2 linked regions of the Caenorhabditis elegans genome follow. The protein of the gene in region 1 interacts with the protein of each later gene in a pairwise test. Each region holds a gene or a part of one and is shown in the gene's direction. Other genes may lie near its edges. The genes, in order: W01B11.1 and C24D10.2.

Region 1 (3,760 bases):
TGGAATTTGCGACGGGACATTCAAATTTTCTCAATAAAACTTTTTGGCGGGAGCTTCAAATTTTTTTCCCGAAAAAAAAGATTGGTAAGAAATTCAAATTTTCTGGCTATCAGAGAAACTTTGGCACAAAATTTAAGTTTTATTCAAACATTTTTGGAATTATATCATATATACATAGGTAACGTGGGCGTCTTATTTGCAACGTGGCCTACGAATTTAGTAATGGAAGATGTTTTTCCGCGGCCACCTATTTTTGGAATTTTTTAAAAATCAATGCAAAAAAAATCTCGAAAATTCAGAGACCAGTTACAGTGAAATACAATTTTTCCAAAAAAAAAAAACCAACCTGTTATTTCTGAAAACATAATTGACAAAAATCTAATTTTAAATTAAAAAAAACTAATTCTGAGCAGTTTGCAAAAGCTCGGCCACTAATATTTTTTCTGAAGGCCACGTTTTGTGGGATACCGGAGAGTCGTTGTGTGTCAATATGGCCGCGAAAGAAAATCGGTGGCCGTGTTTTTTTTCTGCCAAAAATAATAAGGGTGGCGTAACATGCATAAAATAATGTTAAACTTGATTTTAAAAATAGCGGATCCGTTTTAAAACAAATGCACCATTTTTGAAAATTTTCTCGGCCCGTGCTCAAAAATGTGATTTTAGCCATTTTTGGCCGTTCTTTTCAGAAATCCAGCTCCAGAAAAATGATCGACTCAAAATTTTAGACATGTGAACCTTTAAACCCGGGTCTGTGGGAATTCCCGTGTGAAAGTTGGCGAAATTCTGAGAATTGAATGATAAGTGATCAATTTTGATACGAAATCAAGTGATCAATAATAATTCACAGTTCATTTTCTGATCAAAAAACCACAAAAAATCACGTAAGAAGACGTCATTGAGACTTCTAGAAAGAGTGTGAGTGAGGAGAAAAAAGAAGGAGAAGAAGAAATTGCTTCCGGCTATGGGGGATGCCCTTCTTGCTCGCCGAGCACAAAAAAGAAGAGCAAATTTGTGTTTGTTTTTGTGTACTTTGGTGTTCTAATGGGGAGGAAACATATAAACAACGTTTTGTTTGTTTCTTTTTCGCAGAAAAATTCTATAGTTTGAGTATCCCGACATAAATTCTCTCCAGAAAATTTGAATTTCCCATCAAAAGTATTTCACAGAAAATTTGAATTCCCGCCAAAAATACATTGTAGACAATTTGAATTTCCCACCAAATTATATTCTCAGCACATTTTTAATTTCCCACCCAATTTTTATCTCAAAAAGTTACATTTCCGACCGATTTTTTTCTCGAAGAATTTGAATTTCCCAACAAAAAATTTCTTAGAAATTTAAATTTCCGGTCAGAATGTTACTTCGAAAAATTTGAATTTCCCGCCAAAAATATTTCTCAGAAAATTTGAATCTACCGCTAAAATTAAGCTCAAAAAATTTGAGTTTCCCGCCAAAAATATTTCTTAGAAAATTTGAATTTCCCGCCAAATGTGCCCTCAAAAAGTTCGAATTTTCGACCGATTTTGTTCTCGAATACTTTGAATTTTCCGCTAAAACTTTGCTCGAAAAATTTCGCTCCATATTTTTTCTCGGAAATAGAATTTTTTAAATTTAAAAAACCTTTTTTTTATACATAAGTTTTAAACGTAATTTTTAATTGCTACATTATCGTTTCAAAGGAACAAGCTCAAAAAAAAATGTTTTCAGCGCCGGGACCCAAAAACGAAAAAGTTATTTTAGAGTAGAAAATGTTGGTATTTATTGACAACCCGTTAGGTCAACTACAAATAAGTTTTAGTGAATCAAAAATATAGTTCAACAACGTGTTAGTCGGCAGGGAAAATATAAAATACGAAAGACACAAAAACTAGAGAATAGGTACACTAAACATCAGATTTTAAACTGAAAATAACGGGTCTTGTCACGAGCAAAACTTTTAAACTACAGTACTTCCCACGAGTTAAAAAAACGTTATCACATTAAAAATATTTGTATTGATTTTTTTAAACAAAGATGCCGGTTAAATTTATTTTTGAAAATTGAAAAAATATAAATTTAAATGTTTTCGTGAACTTATTTCTCAATCACAATTTGAACGGTTCATTCGATTTCGCAACACAACATGGGCGACGACGCTTACCAGTTTTTGGCTCCAGATTTAGTAAGTTTACATTTATTTTCAGGCAACAGAAAGCCAAATTTCAGCTCGCTCCTCCACCACCAGTCCAACAACCGCCAGCAGTTGCTCCAGGAGCATCACGTCCCGCACCTGCTCCGTCGAATGAGCTTCCACCCGCGTCGGAGGCAAAGAAGTAGGAACACTTTTTTGGATTTTGCTTTTCAAATTTAACATTGCCTGATTTTTTAATATAATTTTTTTCCAAATTGCTGGAAATTTCTGAAAAAGTTATTTAGGGGTACTGTAGAAGTCTTCTAGGGTTTCTGTAGTTTTGGAAAAAGGGAGTTTTTGTATGTTGAATGGGTACGGTAGGGGTACTTCAGGATTACTGTAACCTTGGGAAACCGTGGGAATTGCCTATTGCTGGAATATTGGGTGGTTAGCGGATGAATGTTGTAGGGGTACTGTAAGGGTACTGTAGGTTTGGAAGGTTTTAGTTTTTGCCAGTAGAAGCGATAGTAAATGGGCTTAGTGGAGGGATACTGTAGGGTACTTAACACTTTCCATTTTGTCATAGAATTTTGTAAAAATTAGAGAAGGTGTTCCATAGCAACTGAAAAATATACAAATTCGAAATAAATTTCCAGATTCCAAGTGCAACCGGCTAAAAAAGCATCAAAATCGAAGAGCAAATCGAAAGACTCATCGCCAAGCAACGGAAAGGAGAAGAAGAAGCGCACAAAGCGTTCGGGTGGCTCCAAATCGAAAGAATCTTCCGAGCCACCTCCATCATTGTCCGCCTTTAAATGGCAAATGGCATTCAGTGCATTTCTTGTCTTTATTTCAGTTGCTATCACTTTGATGGTATTGATTGATGGACTCATGTGATTGGAATAAAGATTGTATGGATTTTATTAATTTTTCTATTATTAACCAGTCATTTGCGTACCCGTCTTTTTTTGCGAAGTTTAAATGCTACTATTCGACCATATCCTAATCAACCCAACGTCAGTGGTGATCGGCAAATCGGAAAAACCGACAAATTGCCGGAATTGAAAATTTCCTGCAAATCGGCAAACCGGCAAACTGGCGGAATTGAAATTTCCGACAAATTGGCAAACCGGCAAATTACGGGATATGAAAATTTCCGGCAATCCGGCGAATCGGCGAATTGCCGGAATTGAATATTCCGGCACATCGGCAAACCGGCAAATTGCAAGAATTGAGATTTCCGGTAAATCTGCAAATTGCCGGAATTGAAATCTCCGGCACATCGGCAAACCGACAAATTCCCAGACATGAAAATTTCCAGCAAATCGGCAAATAGGCGGAATTGAAATTTCCGGCAAATCGACAATCGTCGATTTGCCGAATTTGCATATTTACATGAAACGGGAAAGAAATTTCAAAAAGGTACAGTTTTAAGTGTTTCCGTTTTATAAAAAATCCCTCTAAACACTTCCGGCAAAATGATATCCGGCAAGCGGCAAGCGGCAAATTGCCAATTTGCCGATTTGCCAAATTTGTCGACAAAAAATTTGCCGAACAGCAATTGTCGACCACTCCCTGCTCAACATCTTTTATCTAGACGAAAAGTTTTTTCTCTCGAAAACTACAGTACCCCTACAGTATCCCACTACT
Region 2 (3,670 bases), on another chromosome or scaffold:
TGCAGCATTATTAAAATTGCAAGTTCATAGGTTTTCAGATTCATTGTGAATTGATTATTATGACGAATGGACAATCCTCTGGAAGTCGACTATTAGTTTCCCATAATAATGGAATGCAATTGTTCTGATGTATTCTCACAGTAATATTTGAGACAACCAGGAACGGCGATGTAATAGGAAACGTAGTTCATTGCGTAATATATGTATTTGCCAAGTAATATGACGTTCCTGTAGATAGAGTAGAAAATATATGGATTTTACTTTAGAGATTCTACCTAAATACGTCCACTTCTGTAGCAAAATTCTATTTTTAGTTGCAATATATCACAAAGTTGAAACAGTCAGTGCGTGCAACTTCTAGAGAACACCCTAAAATTTCGAGTTTCATCATGTTCTGACATATTTCATGAAAAATTGTTGATGCCAATCGATTTCAAATCGATGAAAAACTACGGGAAATAGGTTTTAAAGTCGTAAAACGACCGTACTACTCTATAGAAGCTCTCGAATTTTTGATACTTCTCACAAAAATCACTGAATTTGTTTCAATTTTACAAAGAAATTTGGTGGAACAATAACATCAAAATGATCCAAATACTTAATAGTTCGTCCATTAGAAAATGAAAAACGCTACGTGGAAAAAACTACAGTAATCCTTAAAGGCGCAGACCCGTTTGCATTTATTGTTAAATTTGTTGTGTCGAAACCGAGTACCGTGGTATTGGCATCTGTGTAATATGCATAATCTAGGCCTACTATACATGAAACGAATGCAAAACGCAGATTGGCAGATTCCAAAATTCGAAGTAATTGCAAAAGGTAAATGTTTCTTCTGGACAATTTAGGAGCCAAGCATTGTTTTAGAAACAAGAAATTTGCCATTGAAGCTGAAGCTCGCAAATTCGTTGCCGATAATGAGTGTTCCAGGATCAAGTAAGATTTCGGGCAGTTTTACCCGTGAGCCGGTAGCCGGTAACAGAACTGGTAACGCCTGCAGTATCAACTCCATCAACCATGAGCAAGCGGACGCGCGAAGGAACAAAATTTGCAGAAGCTAAAAAACTGAAGATATAAGAATAAGACTGAAATATAAAACCAATTTATTTGCATAATAAATTGTAATTATGTATCACGAAAAAGTTAAGTTATCAATCCCGAATTTGCCGGTGCCCCAGTTGTTTACACAGACGGAGCTTTTTACTGGAGATTTATTAAGACCAATTTAGACCAATTTAGACCAATTTAGACCGGTGTACGGAACACCTGCCAACAACCGAGGAGAACTTATTGCTTTCGAGAAAGCAATTAATTAATTTAAAAATTAAAAACAACAAAAAACGAGCTAAGAAATAATATTTATTGGGCACAAAAGGGCCAATGAAAGTTGCACTTCTTTGGGCGACTGGCTCTTCTTGTGTCGATTTTCTTATGGTCCAAGGTAACAGGACTGGTCAGTACGGGCCTTGAAGACCTGCCCACCTGGGTTGGTGTTTCCTCCGGATCCTTGGTTCTGCTGCTGTCCACCACCACCATTGCCTCCTTGTGCATAGTCTTCGCGGGCATAACCTGACGAAGAAGCATTGGATCCCATGTAGCCCGATCCATAGCCACCAGCGCCCATGTAAGCCGACTTGTCCGCCATCGTTGTCTTTCGTTTGAGGTTGTTCAGAGAAACTTGCTCAGAAAACTGATAAACTGACGATTTCTGGCTCGTTATAAAAGGAAAGATCTAGGGCGAAGATAAGAATATTCCACGGAAAGTGCAAGTCGTATAAATGAACTTTTCAACTTTTGAAATTTCTTTGAAAAATCGCATAAATCGACAGGCACAAGAAAAAACATTTTAAACTTAATATATCCCGTGACATTCTGAAATAAAATAATTCTATTAGTATTCTCACCTTCAGACGTGTCTACTTGTTTCTTCATTCAAAAATTCATTGCTTACAACAAAGGATTCAAAAGTCGCCGGTTGCTCATCGAGCTCTAAAAGGTGAGTTTATACTCGAAATGGTTGGGAAGATGTGTCAATCGAGCAAGTGTGGGCCGAACGAAGAGCGTGGCATGCTCTAAAGTTCAGCTTTTTGTTATTCGCTAAACATTCGTTTGCTTTTCAATCGGGACATTGGCGCTTTGTGGGATTTTCTGAGAGCCATAGAACTTTTTGAAGTTTTGCACTCGCAGATACGGTGAATGAGAAAGTGTTACTGTTTTTATGACCCGTTCAAAGACTTAGACTGATAGGTCTCAATTAGGCGCGGGTTCAGCGGGTCTCGTCACGATCACAGTCGAATTTCTCATAATGTTCCGTATTTCAGAGAAACAAAGGGCGTAATAAAAAGATGGCTGATGACAACGTCTCATTCACGGATGCAGGTGATCCAACACCAGGCGCTAAACCTCAAGGAGGATCGTCGGCAATGCTGGATCTACTTGGAACACTGAACAAGAAGGAAGACAAAAAGAAGAAGGATAAGAAGGGCAAAAAAGGAAAGAAGTCGAAGGGAAAGTCGAAGACCAAGAAAGTCAGAAAGACAGACAAGTTTGAGTCGCAAAACTTCTTGTTTCGCATCGAGGGAACCATATTTTGTGCTGGAATCGGTGAGTTGGAGGACCAAGACTGCAGGCACGATAATGCCTACCAGCTTGCCTTAAAGTTGTACAGAAAGTATTTTGTATGGCAACATTGTGCCTACACGGAAGGGTTCAATTATACAATGTTATACTTTTCAGTTGTCGGATTGGTGGTGCTGCTCGTCTTCGTTGCAGTTGCAATCTTCTTCAGCGTGAAGTCTGGAGGAAACATGGTGCACTACATCCATCCATGGTGGGGAGGACTTGAAGAATCGTCTTCTAATTGAGAGACGAATCGAAAGAAATGAAAAAGTGACGTCCGCTTATTTTTAAAGTGTCAATTCTATTTGTCACTTCTCAATAAAGTATTGGTTTATGGCTCGTTTTTTTTTGTTATCTTACTCAGACATGCCGTTACGGCTAAGAACTCTGCCTAAATATCTGTCTTTTTTCATCTTTTCATTTCAATAGTAAGTAGCCGCACCTACATTACGCCTGCGCCATTTCCAAGGTCCTGCCTACTTATGTGAATGCCTGAATGCCTGCCTAACTTTTTCGAGCCTCCAAAATTATGTAAAAATCAATGAAAAAACCGAAATCCGAAAAAAGACTGGAGCCCGGCCACTCCAAATTTAGCCAAACTAATTATCTTTTAACTAATTATCTTTTCACTTATTCTAATGCCTGCAAGCCTGCCTACTTTAGATTTGTCTTTTTGGGAAATTGGAGAAATCGGGCCAAGTTGTCCACAGAGCCTGCTTTTGTTGTGTGATATGTTATCAATTACCAAAATTGTTTGTATCAAATGCATGATTGTTCAACCTAAATACAGTAATCTATCCCAAATTTGAAATCGAAAAATTTGTGATGAGTCAAATTTAGAGTGGCTACAAGTAATGCAAAAGTACATTTTAACATTCATTTATCTGTGTCTCTTGCCATTTCATCCCACATGTGAAAATATGCATATAGATACACTTCTCTCTAGTACTACTAATTTCCTAAATGACCCTGAAAGTGTATAGTAATTTTTGGATAGAACAATTCCAATATTCCAATTTGATGTCTATAGAATATTTAAATTTTACGAAATCTG

Evidence for each region.
Region 2: the proteins of W01B11.1 (region 1) and C24D10.2 interact in a two-hybrid assay, tested with the Caenorhabditis elegans proteins (one large-scale study listed by BioGRID).

What each region holds. Positions count from the first base shown.
Region 1 is NC_003279.8:3,297,484-3,301,243, forward strand, and holds W01B11.1 (uncharacterized protein), read left to right. Parts: upstream 1-2,086; 5' UTR 2,087-2,122; coding exon 2,123-2,161; intron 2,162-2,205; coding exon 2,206-2,312; intron 2,313-2,766; coding exon 2,767-3,007; 3' UTR 3,008-3,033; downstream 3,034-3,760.
Region 2 is NC_003282.8:5,161,400-5,165,069, forward strand, and holds C24D10.2 (uncharacterized protein), read left to right. Parts: upstream 1-1,939; 5' UTR 1,940-1,993; intron 1,994-2,138; exon of another isoform or gene 2,139-2,159; intron 2,160-2,318; 5' UTR 2,319-2,342; coding exon 2,343-2,601; intron 2,602-2,733; coding exon 2,734-2,861; 3' UTR 2,862-2,952; downstream 2,953-3,670. Other genes in the region: nspd-3 (Nematode Specific Peptide family, group D), read right to left, coding at 1,427-1,642.